Linked DNA regions of Daphnia pulex. The protein of the gene in region 2 binds, or shares a complex with, the protein of the main gene of each other region. Links are inferred from orthologs where the notes say so. Each region holds a gene or a part of one and is shown on either strand. Other genes may lie near its edges.

What was found. The genes of interacting proteins can lie anywhere in the genome.
Region 1: THO complex subunit 1-like (region 2) and THO complex subunit 3-like share a complex: the UniProt entries of both Homo sapiens proteins name them as parts of the transcription/export (TREX) complex. The link is inferred for Daphnia pulex from reciprocal best matches to the Homo sapiens genes THOC1 and THOC3.
Region 3: the proteins of THO complex subunit 1-like (region 2) and THO complex subunit 7 homolog are in contact, whole or in part, in a cryo-EM structure (PDB 7APK), measured with the Homo sapiens proteins. The link is inferred for Daphnia pulex from reciprocal best matches to the Homo sapiens genes THOC1 and THOC7. Residues at the interface, in NP_005122.2 of Homo sapiens: Leu10, Arg14, Glu46, Gln53, Arg56, Glu60, Ile63, Ile64, Asp99, Asp102, Cys103, Leu104, Pro105, Arg146, Gln151; in NP_079351.2 of Homo sapiens: Tyr47, Gln51, Leu54, Ser55, Ser58, Gln59, Phe62, Gly65, Lys66, Leu69, Val70, Met73, Arg76, Glu77, Asn80, Ile84, Ile88.
Region 4: THO complex subunit 1-like (region 2) and SAP domain-containing ribonucleoprotein-like share a complex: the UniProt entries of both Homo sapiens proteins name them as parts of the transcription/export (TREX) complex. The link is inferred for Daphnia pulex from reciprocal best matches to the Homo sapiens genes THOC1 and SARNP.

The regions. Positions count from the first base shown.
Region 1 is NC_060028.1:7,657,440-7,661,044, forward strand, and holds THO complex subunit 3-like, read right to left. Parts: upstream 2,377-3,605; 5' UTR 1,923-2,376; coding exon 1,743-1,922; intron 1,676-1,742; coding exon 1,519-1,675; intron 1,459-1,518; coding exon 1,254-1,458; intron 1,188-1,253; coding exon 1,026-1,187; intron 950-1,025; coding exon 697-949; 3' UTR 501-696; downstream 1-500. UniProt on the Homo sapiens protein: Component of the THO subcomplex of the TREX complex which is thought to couple mRNA transcription, processing and nuclear export, and which specifically associates with spliced mRNA and not with unspliced pre-mRNA.
Region 2 is NC_060026.1:6,262,967-6,267,104, reverse strand, and holds the start of THO complex subunit 1-like, read left to right. Parts: upstream 1-1,338; 5' UTR 1,339-1,454; coding exon 1,455-1,496; intron 1,497-1,576; coding exon 1,577-1,659; intron 1,660-1,720; coding exon 1,721-2,013; intron 2,014-2,215; coding exon 2,216-2,438; intron 2,439-2,497; coding exon 2,498-2,603; intron 2,604-2,669; coding exon 2,670-2,938; intron 2,939-3,001; coding exon 3,002-3,131; intron 3,132-3,194; coding exon 3,195-3,403; intron 3,404-3,458; coding exon 3,459-3,602; intron 3,603-3,676; coding exon 3,677-3,824; intron 3,825-4,138. UniProt on the Homo sapiens protein: Component of the THO subcomplex of the TREX complex which is thought to couple mRNA transcription, processing and nuclear export, and which specifically associates with spliced mRNA and not with unspliced pre-mRNA.
Region 3 is NC_060023.1:12,053,787-12,056,617, forward strand, and holds THO complex subunit 7 homolog, read right to left. Parts: upstream 1,547-2,831; 5' UTR 1,400-1,546; coding exon 1,390-1,399; intron 1,329-1,389; coding exon 1,208-1,328; intron 1,142-1,207; coding exon 715-1,141; 3' UTR 501-714; downstream 1-500. Other genes in the region: transketolase-like, read left to right, coding at 1-480; ataxin-7-like protein 1, read left to right, coding at 2,725-2,812. UniProt on the Homo sapiens protein: Component of the THO subcomplex of the TREX complex which is thought to couple mRNA transcription, processing and nuclear export, and which specifically associates with spliced mRNA and not with unspliced pre-mRNA.
Region 4 is NC_060024.1:915,590-918,768, forward strand, and holds SAP domain-containing ribonucleoprotein-like, read right to left. Parts: upstream 1,954-3,179; 5' UTR 1,817-1,953; coding exon 1,796-1,816; intron 1,644-1,795; coding exon 1,550-1,643; intron 1,478-1,549; coding exon 1,410-1,477; intron 1,352-1,409; coding exon 1,242-1,351; intron 1,175-1,241; coding exon 850-1,174; intron 789-849; coding exon 609-788; 3' UTR 501-608; downstream 1-500. UniProt on the Homo sapiens protein: Binds both single-stranded and double-stranded DNA with higher affinity for the single-stranded form. Specifically binds to scaffold/matrix attachment region DNA. Also binds single-stranded RNA. Enhances RNA unwinding activity of DDX39A.

The sequences.
Region 1 (3,605 bases), on a different chromosome or scaffold from region 2:
CACGAGAAGCATTCCGAGTATTTCACGTTCTAGCTGCGGAGAACAATGAACATGAATCTACTCGAGCAAAACGATACATTCGTCTATGTGCCGCTTTGCTGCCTATATATGGGTGTGTGTGTTTAGTGTTTACCAACTACCGTTACGAAATATCAAACGACATTTTAGCCTTGTACATAATCAACGGCACGTATGATGTAACACAAACTATCAATCTATCTGTTTCTACGAAATATGCTTATTATCACGACAACTTAAATTAATTTGCCTTTAGTAATAGAATAAGGATAGGAATAAGTCTTACCTAGATGGACTGCTTGCATAAAAGCGTCGTATTTCTTTAAACGTTAACGCCCTGTTTTTTTCATTATTGACTAAAAATTTGTGCCGAACGGTCATCACCTTTTAACAAATATGGGATCTAGTAATAACGAAAATTATTATTGAGTAATTAATTATGTTTGAACGTTAAAAAAAAGGGAAAATGTGTCCTGGAACAATTCAGTTTTCTGGAAAAGATCTCTGATCTGAGATCCATTTTACTTGTATCTCTCTCAACACAGTTGAAGTTTGTAAGCTTGGCAAATAGTTCTTGACAAGAGTAAACAAGAAAATCTGCAAGTGAAAAAATAAAAAAAAAAAAGCTGGATTCTGTATAAAACACGAGACCTCCTAGTTTTGATTCGTATGGGCCCATCACTCGTTAGAGAGACCAAAGAGCTTCACAGTTCCGGCGTCTCTGTTTCCGTCGTCTTTATCGTCACAGGCGTAGGCCAGCAGGTGAGAGCGTGGATGCCAGGCGACTGTGAAGGTTGGCGTGTCAACTGGAATGCTGATAACGCGCTCGCCTGTACCTACGTGGCTGACGTCGATCAGCAAGTCCTCTGACCCGGACGCCAACATGGACCCATCGTGACTGAAACTCAATGTCCGAACTGGCCAATCCAACCTAAAGGGGAAACACCCAGTCAGTAATTGAATAACCTCAATAGAAAACGGCACGTTATTATTGGCATTAATGTTACTTGGAGAAAGTGCGCAAACAAGCAATTTCATCGGCATCCCACAGAGAGACTAGGGCGTCGGCCGACCCAGTGGCAAAGTACCGTCCAGTGGGGTCGAATTCGATGCAAATGCAGTTGGCGGGGTGAGCCTGTGTGACGTGAACGGTCGTAAGCTCTGGGTAACTAGATACAAGAGAATTGATAGCGTCATGCTAGATTGAAAGCAGGGGGAAGAAAATTCATCATTACTCTAATATGTGGATGCAGCCTTGCCCACTAGTCAAAAAGAAAAGATTGCTAGCCTTGTTCCATTCTATTTCGTTGACTTCAAACTTGAACGGATGTTCTATTTTAATCTTAAAATTCCTGGCATCAATAAAAGTAACAAGGTCTTCCTTATTTCCCACTGCAATGGAATTTCCATCAGGTGACCACGTGATGTTGATATTTTCTCCTGTCAAATCACATTAATGAAGGATTGAATGTTTAAGCATAATTTCGTAATTAATTGTACCCTTGGTGTTTACTGTGGCGACACTCTTTTTAACTCTTGCATCCCAAACTCTCATGGTTTTGTCTCCACTGGCGGTGCTGAGCAAATCAGGATTGGTTTCGTGCCAACATAGCTGATCGACACTGTCATTGTGTCCCACAAACGTTTGCTCCTTAACCTGAAACAGAATGCCTCAAGCTCCATTATAATTGCTGCATGATTGATAAGCCGGGACTAATACTAACCAGTCTGTCGCTTTCCATAGTAAAAATGCACACCGTCTTGTCAAAGGAACCCGACGCTAACCGTCTTCCATCGCAATTCCAATCAACCGTGTGAACCTTGGCCGAATGTGCAGAGACTTCCCTCGTTCGAGTGTGCGTTTTAAAATGATTTTTCAGCTCTTCCAATTCGGCGACTGCCATCTTCTTATAATTTCGGGAAAAAAAAGCGGTTTATATACCTTTACTCGCGTGTCAACAAAACACAGTGTGTGCAGACGAACTAACGCGAAGCCGGTCGTCCCGCCATTTCCAATGCCAAGTCTCTTCTTCATCCGCCAGATGGCAGTTGGAGCGCGAAATTTGAAATTCCTAACTCACTAATAAAAGAAAAAAGGGGTCGGGCAAGGAATGCGTGGTGGTAATGTCGTCTCCTCAATTGGCTCTGATTAGTCGGACGTTAAACGATACGTTTATCGACTGGCTGGCCCAAAATAACAAAAATAAAATAAAAAAGGCGTAGGGTGGGCGGATAGGTGGAAATGCTTTTGTTACCAAACACGGGACACACACCGTAATCAAGCGTGACTAGTACACACACACACACACACAATGAACTCAACAAGCGAAGGGCGTCCAGCCTCTATCAGACGAGATCTAGCTGCATGAATATTATACTCTCTCTCCCAAGTCCCAGCTACACATATAAACTATAGCTGTGGAGCTTGCGCCATTTTGAATGTTATTACACGTCCGATAAATATATATATATCTACACGGCAATAATATGCGCCAAAGCCAAAAGAACCGAGTCCAAATCAACTGGGATGGGCAGCAGCAGCAGCAGCTATGCCCGTTTCTTCAAAAACTACGACTATATAGATTTCAGTTTTCTTATATTTTGTTCTTTTTTTCTTTCTTTCACAGCGCGCAATCATCAAATGATCCGTGTTTGGGCATCGGGGTAATATAAAGCAACAAAAAGTCGTAGTCTCTCTCTGCCAGTGCATGCTGGACCCACAGCGCCGGCACACAGCACATAAGACATCTACAACAACTACAACCAGAACGGCTTCTATATAACGCTAACGACTAACGAGTTAGCATCGACTTTACAAGAATTTACAGCTGTATAGTCGATGGAAGAAGAGAGCGGGGGTAGTAAGGAGAAAAAAAAGGGAAATTTACGAGTCCCCCTCTTCTTCTTCTTCTAGGAGAGAAAAGAAAAAGAAGACGGCCATAAAATAAGCAAATTTCTTGCCCGTTAACTGACGATAAAAGCGACTGGGCGTCCAAGCGCGCCTTGTGGCCTGGCCTGGCCTGGGCTGCTGCTGATGCTCCTACTGGACCTCCTTTTTCTTTGGCTGCTCTCTCCATCATTACACACACCAAAAGAACTTCTTCTTCTTCTTCTTCTATTTTGATAGCCAATCGGTCCCGTGTGTGCGTAATAACATATCGCAGTCGTAAATCTGCGAACGTCTCGTTTCGTTTTGCCCAAAAAGATTCTTTTTCTCTCTCTTTCCCTGGACCTTTTGGCTGGTCACTGGACTCGTCTCGTTGGCCTATACCCAAAGAGTAGTAAAATAAAAATATATAAGAAATAAAGGAAAAAAAAGGGTTTTTTTTCCTTCTATTTTATTTAAAACTCTTCCTTCTCCCCTTCAAATGAAAACGTCTATAGGGTAATACGATTCCGATGATACGCTTTTTTGTTGCTGGTGTGCCTCGACACTTTATGGAGATTGGACCCGCTGGCCCGTTATATATATCCCGGTGATTTACAACGCGGATATATATATATATAAATACAGCAGGGCAGCTCTGCTGTGTGTGTTGTAACATTAAGTATATAATATATATAGGAGAGTTTCTATTACAATAGGC
Region 2 (4,138 bases):
TATTTTTTCCTTTATCCTGGTGAAGTTGAGAAATTTTGATAGCAAACCGGGGAAAAAACCAACTTTTTGTCAATTTTGATACTTCAAAGTACAAGTACATCTTGGCATTTTGCCCTGGAGACAGCGTTGTGACTGTTTTGTTTGCGTACTTTAGCTTGAGATATAGTAATGTTTTGCGAGTTATCCTTTACTCCCATCAATTGTTACTAGCCAATGCAGAGAGTAAATAACCCAAGATAATTACATTAAAGGCTTGACAAAGAGTTATTGTAGCCAGCAAATAAAAAACAAATCGACAAAGTTTTTGGCAATCATCCTTCTTCTATTCGTTCACAGGGACGATTTGAACAGAGAAAACAACTTCTTCTCATTAAAGGCTCTCAAAGCGATCGCCATCTACATGTTTAATTACAATAGAATAAGGCCTAAGGATTCGCGTTTCTTGCTTCAGCTTACGTGCCGCGTCATCTTTCGTTGATGACGTCCTGCAGTCCAAATGACACAGATAAATTGGTTTGAAATAAGTAAAATTTTATATCTTTTATCTGGTGTTTTATAATGCTACTAATAATTTCCTTTTAATTTATTCTTATTTGAGATGATCAAAGGCGAAATAGGATTTTAAAAAGTGCCACAAACGGCGGTTCCCTGCAGTAAAGAATCGATATCTCTAATCCTCTATGCCTTTTCCTGGTGCACTTCAGGAAGTAGACATAAAATCAGAGCTCGTAAGCAAACAGAGGTAGTTCAAATATAGAGACTAGAACAAGGTTATGAAATCTCGGTAGATAGTGCAGTCGATACTGTAGTTGTAATATGGCAGGCAATACCTGCCGATTTTCATAGGAAATCAAATGATAAAAGTAATACGAATGGAAGTTGAAAACATTCGAGTATTTGAATGCGCTTAAATATTGTTTAGTAGTGAAATGAGTAGCATTGGAATGCTATTGAAAATATTGAGTTCAAAAAGGCTACTTATTGTCGATTACATTAAACATGAGAAATGTCTTAAAATTAGGTAGTTTTTATATGGGAATTTTATCTTTATTAAACTCGGTGCAGTCCCGCGTTAGATGATTTTTCAAAAAAGGACTCTCTTTTGTAGAACACCATTTTTATTGATCCGTCGACTCGCCATCTAGGGGATGATAATCGAGTAACATTTTTGTATGAAAACGTCAAAACGGTAATCTCAGTCAAAACATATTCTTTGAACAGATAAATTATTTGATTATCACCGATTACTTATTAGTTAAACTTGAATGGTTTGACATTTACTTCTTTCCAGAATTTCCGCTTTCCGGGATTCGGAAAAAAAAATCAAGTTGATTTTAGAATGGCAACATTGCAATTTACAAACTTGGCAACGCAACCAAGTTTTGAAGCGTCGTCTGATCGTTTCGAAAACACGACTATTTTTATGTTTCTTACTTTGTAAAAAAACCACTGAAATGGAAATATTTGATTTTGAGAAAACTCGGTGTTCGTTTCTGGTACAGTAAAAAAATCTATCAATGAGCCATATTTGAAATAAATTGAAAAATCTTATGTCTTCTGTGTTTGGTTTCTGTAGGATTCCATTTCTGAAGCTCTTAAACTGGGTGGTCCACCCACTATCAGTGAATTACTTTCAGTTAACAATACAGCTCATCTTGGGTAAATTTAATCAAAGCAGAAAGTATTTACATATTATTGTAATTAAACATATTTATTGTAGGGAAGCTGATAAAAAAGCTGTATGGGATCAGGCGTTTAGAGACAGATTTTTGAGTGATTCCTCAAACTTTTCCATACCATTGTTTGAAAAGTTGTTGCAGTTGAGTCTGGATTGTGCAGTAGCTCTAGTATGTTCTCCAACACTGCCTGTGATTTTGCTCACAGATGCTTTTGACATCCTGTCTCTGGAAAAATGTGAGGAAATTTTCTACATGGTTGAAATGAAAGTAGCGATTTGGAAACAAGAGCTTTTCTTCAATCAGTGTAAAAATACCTTACTTCGCCTTTGCAATGGTATGTAAAGACATTTTTCCAAAATTCTAATAATGTATGACACAAATATTTATGTAACTGGATGCATCTAATTCTGTATTGATATGAATTCAATCCATTACTCTTATTTCAATGTATACCACTCTGCTAAATTCATTTACAGTGTTTCGCTTTATGTGAGTTGTGTTGCTGAAATGAATTTTATATGTATATTTTTTTTCAGATCTGCTGAGGCGCTTGTCCCGAAGCCAGAACACGGTTTTCTGTGGTCGAATTCTTCTATTTCTTGCAAAATTTTTCCCATTCTCTGAACGATCCGGACTTAACGTAGTAAGCGAATTTAATTTGGATAATTTGACGACATTTGGAGCTAAAGATGAAAGCTACGCTGCTGATATATCTGCTAATTCTGAAAAGCACAAGGATGCAATGGAAGTAGAAGAAAGGTATATATATTTGATTGACAAGTTATTGCAATATTTTTCTAAATTTTCTTGTTTTGTAGTTTGAGCTCCGACTACAATCTGTACAAAAAATTTTGGTCCCTACAAGATTTCTTTCGAAACCCTAATCAGTGCTATACGAAAATCCCGTGGAAAACGTTTTGTTTGGTAGCTAAAACATCAAGTATTTCAAGTTAAAATTTTCCATCTAACAGAAAAACAATTATTCTTTAGCATACTAGTGATGTTTTGTCTGCATTTTCTACTATCAAACTGGATGAGCGGAGAAACCGCTCTAAATGGGATGAGGCAGATGTGGCATTAAACATCGATATGAATGAAACCAGCATGAATGGTGGAAATGTCCAACAATATTTCGCCAAATATTTGACGAGTCAAAATCTTCTCGAACTTCAGCTCGGTGACTCCAACTTCAGACGTTACATTCTGCTGCAGTTTCTGATTATGTTCCAATATCTGGATTCACCTGTCAAGTTTAAACAGTTAGTTTCAATAAGTTTCATTAGTTAGACTATTTCAACCGCTTGAATTGCTTCTATTTATAGCGAAACTCACAAGCTCAACGAAGAACAAACTACGTGGGTTTCCGAGGCTATCGATCAAGTCTATCGGTTATTGAAAGATACACCTCCAGATGGCGCTTCTTTCGTCCAATCTATTCGACACATACTAAAGGTATACTGAGTTGTATAAAAGTAGTTTTAAAAAATATCATCCATCGGTGTTTGTTGGATGTAGCGGGAAGAATTATGGAGCAACTGGAAGAACGATGGCTGCCCGGAATTCCGGCCCAGCATAACCAGCTCAACCACTGATAATGATACTATAAAAGATGGTACCAATGGAGAAAAAAAGACGATCGTAGTTGGCCGACCAAGACGGCTCAAAAGAAGTCTTGGAGATCAGATTCGAGAAGCTTCAAAAAGAAATAAGTGCATTATTGGAAAGTAGGTAAATTATGAAATTATTTGAAAACATTGAATTACAGCTTTTTCTCTTTAGCGCTGAGATGAATCGTTTGTGGAATCTATGTCCTGATAACATGGCTGCCTGTCGATCTAAAGATCGAGATTTTCTACCTACATTAGAAAACTATTTTGAGGAAGCCATTGAGCAACTGGATCCTTCAGTGGAAAGCCAGTACAAGTAAAAATTTGCACTTTAAAGCTTACATTTTTCCGAAAATGTTTTAACTGAATGAGCGATTTTCGTGTTTCCAGGCGAGTTAGTGAGGCTAATTTTGGGTGGCGTGCTTTGCGGCTTTTGGCTAGACGAAGTTTACATTTCTTCACTCATGGTAATACTCCTATCACTCGGCTGCCAGATTACTTGGAAACGCACGTTCGCAAACTGGCCAAGGACATGCAGGTAGAGTAAAATCAGATGAATATCACGGTTCCCATTCTGCAATACAGGGAAAAGTCAGGGATTTAGGTTCTCATTTGGGAATATATATATATATTTTTTTTTAATATTTTGAGGTATTTTGAATTTTGTTATCGAGACTCATAACTTTTGCACGGGTTTTGCTGTTAAACAAAGATTTTGAAATAGTTGATCCAGAAGAAATACAGACGAGTTTGTTAGGTGTCAGGTAATTTTTCACATTCATTTGTCTGGAAATCCCTGGATAATCTTGATATATTACTGGTTTTGTAGTTGGCTTATTCAAATAATATGAT
Region 3 (2,831 bases), on a different chromosome or scaffold from region 2:
ACCAAAGGAATTTGCTTCATTCGTACATCTCGCCCCAACACAGCCGTCATCTACGAGAACGAACAAGTTTTCTCTGCTGGAAAGGGTCACGTTGTTCGTAGTCACGATCAAGACGATTTGGTTATCGTTGGCGCCGGCGTTACACTCCACGAAGCGCTGAAGGCGTCCGACATGCTGATGGAAGCCGGCATCAAGGCTGCTGTCATCGATCCATTTACCATCAAACCCATTGATCACGATTTGCTGTTGAAGGAAGCCACTCGTTGCAACGGCCGGGTTTTGACCGTTGAAGACCATTACCCAGAAGGTGGATTGGGTGAGGCTGTTGCTTCAACTCTAGCCGAACAACGAAATATTATCGTCAAGATTTTGGCAGTTCGCGAAGTTCCCCGCTCCGGTCCTCCAGAGGTTCTCCTAGAACATTTTGGAATCGGCGCCAAGGCTATTGCCGAAGCCGCGAAAAAACTTGTTGCGTTGTAAACGCCCTTTTTTTAAGTCACTCATTCCTATACCCATTCCTTACCAGAGGTCTATGGATAGTTGAGAAGAATTGGTGGTGTTTTTTGAAACATTCTTCTATGGCATTCCAAGTCGTATATGTACCGTTTGGATAGTTTATTCATACATAGCTTTTTTGGTGTTTCAAATGATTTTTATTTGTTAGCATTATTATTCAAAAATAGAAAAAAGGGATGCATACAAAATGAACAATTATTAGGATGCTTCATCATCGTTAAGAAGTTGCTGTAATCCTTGGATAGTTGAAATGAGTAAGTGAAATTGTTTGCGTCTTTGTTCTAATTTGGCCTCCAGTTTTTGACATTCACATTCTGAAGCTTCCAGTTCCTGTCGCAATAGGGATAATTTCTCTTGGTTGCTCTTTCGATCAGGCTGTGTTTGAATAATGGCAGCCAAAGCATCATATTCCATTTTATTCCTGCGAATCTGTCTTGCTTCTTGCAACTCCTTCTTGGTTGCTTCAATGTCTTTTTTAGCTGACACAATTCCTTCTTCAATCTGGTTGTAGAGGTCGTCATAGTGCTGCTGTTCTGCAGTGTTCATTTCACAGCACCTCAAGGATTTTGTGGCAGCAAATTCACATTGGGCAATCTGACCAATCATTCTAGCGTAGGATGCTTGTCTGTAAAACAAATAAAAATACATCACATATAGAGTATAGAAGAATTTTATACAAAGATTAATTTACGTTTCTTCAACACTATCTGTAGAGTTGCACCAAGCTAGGAAACCTTTAAGCAATACATTAAGTCTTCTTTCATCACCAGTTCCTTCGCCATCAAACAACAGCCTCCTTCGGATGATCTCTTCTACATAACGAAGTACAAGATGAAAATTAACCGAAATAATATTACTAACAAGTCAAATTACCATCTCCCATTTGTGAATAATGATTGGGATCAAAATAAGACCAATAATAATACAATTTAACTGGTAAAGCTTTGAGAATATTGAGATGTCAAACCGGGCGAAAGAATGAGATGACAAACCTAGGAGAAATGTCGCTGCGGAAACGCCGGAAAGTACTGAAAAATGAAAAAATATTTTCGTCTGCCGTAAGCGTAGTTCGCTCGTCTTTTGTTTTGTTTTTTAAATCCGCCAGCAGACGACACGCCCCTCAAATGAAAGGAAGGAGACATGGCTTTTTAAAAAATCATCCGATTGATTAGGTATCTATTTTGTTTAGGGTTAAACTTGCATGCCTGTATAAACATTAGCAAAACCGAAAGAGAGCTAGTCCAGCAGATCAGCAATATACTTGGGAAACCATTGAACGGTTTAGAATCAATCAGGTGATGTCAAGGAAAGAATCCAATGAAATGCTGGATCTGGAGTGTTGTTTTTCTCGTTTCCAGATTAACGTCAATCTCTTCTTTTTAATTAAACTGTTGCCTTACATTCTAGGAAAACCTGTTTTTATTGTCCTGAAAATTGAGATTGGTGATCAAGATTGACAGATTCATTTTAAACAGGTGTGTAACTGACAGTGAAAAAATAATTTTGGGTGCAAGATACTTACAAACAACATTTATTTGTAAGTATAAAAGGTGCATGTCAATTAATGGTTGTATTTGTCAAGATGTCAGATGGTTGATTGGTTGGTAATATAAAATAACTGAGTTGAGAGAGATTTGGTACCTCAATGGGGAATTTTCACATATGTGTTTATCAGTTGATGTCATTATGATTATGTGCAGCTTGTTCTCATAGTCATACTTGTTGCAGTCCATGTGTGAAAATTGTAAAAAGATACTTAGCGCAAAGAAAAATGTACTTTTTGAGTTCCGCAATGCATAAAATCTTTTGCCAAAATTAAAAAAAAAATAGACGGACGATTGAGGATTTAAATTATTGCTAGAACGTTTCGCTAGAAGATAATTTCATCATTAAATCATCATAAAATTTCATAAATTGCCAACGAATAGAATCAACAACTTTAGTACGCTTACACATTAAGGTCTTCAAGTGGCAAAGAAACGCAACGCATTTTTTAATTCTAGGAAAAATATACAAGTACTATATTAAAGGTAATTTTGAAATAGTCCAATGGGTGTTAATGCCATAGAGTAATTAGAGGAGGCAAGGCATCAAGGGCAGTGGTAGCTGCCGAGCTGCTTTCACTATAGTTGCAACGCTGTTGCAGGTGAGGAAAGAAGACGGAGTCTCGGAGAGGAGAAATTAAGAAAAAATTTTCTGTTAACAAAGATGGCGTCCAACGATGACAGTCCAACAAGTCTTCATGGCCAGCCTTGGTCTGTTTGGGCTGATAGATTAGGCAGAGATAGTCCATTAAGTGAGTAAATTGCCTTATA
Region 4 (3,179 bases), on a different chromosome or scaffold from region 2:
CCGAATATCTAGTAAAATCGCGTAGAGAAAAAAATATTATAGCCTATTATTGCAGCATTTGAGTTGTAATATGCTTTTGTAGTACAGGGGACTTACTTACTGTTCCTGTCCCTCATGGTATAGGACCATGCTGTCTCTTTCCAGATTTCTAAAAAAGCGTCCTACACTACATAGTGAGGGTTTTGAACCCACACTTTATTAGTGGCGGGTTGCTTATTACCTTTGCACGATTATTTCCCTTCCAACTTGAATTTTCTACATTAACCTAAACCGCTACTCCCTTCGACTTGCCACTAGCCTAGAACTCCCTCACTAAATTTCATCTCTTTGTTTCATGCTGCTCTTTTCTTTATAAAATCAAGTGAAATTGCGCACCAACATATCAGGTTATTTCAATTACAAACTAGAAACAAAACAACTCCGCCGACCAACCTAACTCGGACCCATGAGAAAATGTGTTTCAAGTATACACCAAATTAGTATTTTTTTTTTTATCGGGATAAGAAATCAGGTCACATTTAATTTTAAAAAACTAAAAATTTTGTGATCGAACCAAGTCTTTGTTTCATTTAACTGTACGTCAATTAATAAACTTTAAAACGAACATTTCAGGCAAGTCCGAAACGTTCAGCACGTTTGCGCTTCTGTTCGTCAGAACTGCCGACCGCAGTGCTCGTAGTTCCGAATCTCTCTGCTCGCTTCTGTTTCTTCTCATCAACTTCGGAATTAGAATTAGAAACGACGCCAAAGCGAGCTTGCCTTTTCAGAAGTTTGTCATTATCAGGAACCTTAAATAAAAATTCACTACATGAAAACACGAAGAACGATGAGCTGATCAATCGAAAATACCTGAGGTTTTGATGTGTTTGATTCTGTGCTATTTGTACCGCCAAATCTTTCTGCTCGAACAGCTTTCTTCACAGAATCGGGAATAGGAACACCAAATTTCTGTGCTCTTAGTTTGGCTCTTTCTTCGGCAGATAAGGAACCAAGTTTAATCACCTTCTTTTCTTCCTTTGAGTCAGATTCATCACCTTTATTGGCATCATATTTAAGGTGGTCGTCATTTTCCTGTGAAACTGTGCCAGAATCTGATGGAGGAGTTACCACCTTTCTGTTCAAGATGATTTTTTTATGGGGAGAAACTATTTCATTCTTCGAGTCCTGAACAGTCCTGAAATATTATTCATTTCATCATTAATCTTGAGGCAATTATTTTCCAAACAAACAGAGTAACTAACTTTTCAACTGTAACTTTGGGGGCACTCAATGCAGTAGGTGTTAAAAGAACTGCATCATCTTCTTGGGCGATCAAATTTGCATTTCCTTCCTCTAAAATAGCTTCTTCATCCTATACCAAAAATAAAATTGCATAAGTTTATCACATTGTATAAAACCAATGTTCTTACTGCTAAAACTGCCTCCTCATCCAAAAGGTCATCATTGTCTAAGGCGCCATTATCTCCAGTATCGTCATCTTAACATCCACGGAAAAAAGCTTGAACATAAACATGGAAACAGTTTAATAATCAAAATGATAAAAGTTTACCTTGCACAGCATCTTGCAGTCTTTCCATCAATTCATTTTTAGTGCCAATGGTGCTGAGGCCTCGTGTTTTTAACTCTTTTTTAAGGTCCACAACCTAGCATGAAAACAACAGTCAAGATGAAATGCACACAGTAGGCCTATCACTAGTTCAAAAACATAATAGACATTTGATTTGACAAACTCAATCAGGATTCTAAGTTGGAAATATTGACAAGTTTCACTCAAATATAAAGTTAAGCGGGTTACTTTTAATTTAGAGATGTCCATGATTGTGATGATAATGATGACGTTTGTCTGTACCGGCGTCTCAAACTTTCAATGAATTACAATTGGAACGCGCAACGCGGTAACTTGAAAGTAATTCGACTTTTGAATGCCAGTGTATTGTTTCAGAGGAGAAATTGCGTATGCTTTTGCTGGCTTCTAAACTAGTGATCTCTATCGGGCGCATCCTGTACTAAAGTAGTGTCACCTATCGTCAATGCAAAAAGTTTGTCCGAGTCATGTTGCCATGTTAGTGTGTTACTAGCCAACAATGAGAAAGAAAACCCTCGAAAAAGTAATCAGCCACGTAGGATAACTCTGGTAGGATTTTGAAAAAAAATAGTGAGAAATTAATTTTAAGCGATGGGTTTCTCGGACAAAAAGGCTACGCATAAAACATTGCAACTACGTTATTTCTGTAATCGCAAATGATCAAACTCATTGTCAAAGTAATTTTTTTTTTTTAATTTAAAGAGCTTGATAAAAACTTCATAAAATATCTTGTGATAAACCAAGTAAAACTGATTGGCTTAACTAACTAGTGTGTGTATTGTAAATCAATGATTTTAAATTTCATCGTAACATCGTAGTGAATTTTGAATTTTTGATTCTTTTCCCGCTCAAAGAACAAGAAAGTGACAAAAAGTAACGTGTTTTAAGACAAGCAAACAGTTCAAGCTGCAATAGTTATATAATGAATGAGACAAATGCTCAAGCCGTGTATTTCGCTTTGACATGAAAATACGTGCGCGCAAAAAGCACTTTCACGACGACGCTCAGCTTCGGACAGTAGGCAATGTTTACGTAGCGAGCGACACATCTCAAAGGAAGAAAAAAACAATGGTCTTTTCGCGTCTTTTTCTTTCTTTTTTAACAAAAAAAAACAAAAAAACAAAAACAAACAACCAATTCGCAGAAACGTGGCTATATTCCGGCAAGGAGTAAAAGGTGGGTAAAAGGAGAACACCAATTGCTGTGGCAATATCCAACTTGTGCGAGGCAATCGATTTCTGTTTTTCTTTTTTCAAGGCACGCACAACTTAACTATATATATCATTTACTGCTGAGGACAATTATGGTTTTACACGTTTCCAATAAGGGATTGGGGGGGGGGGGTTAAACGGCACGACGGTAGTCGATTTGTCTGGTCCCGGGATACTGTTGTAATAAAGGATATACAGTGATGCCCAATGATTTTCTTATGTTTTTTCACTATTCTTGGGACCCAATTTTTAAGCCCATTCTGAAATGGCGTCAAATTTTCTCTTTTTAGCTTATCGGGAATTGTTTTTGTTTTTTCCCCGATAAATACACGTTACACGCAACACTACAGCGATCATCATTCATCAACTTGTAAGCGATTGGT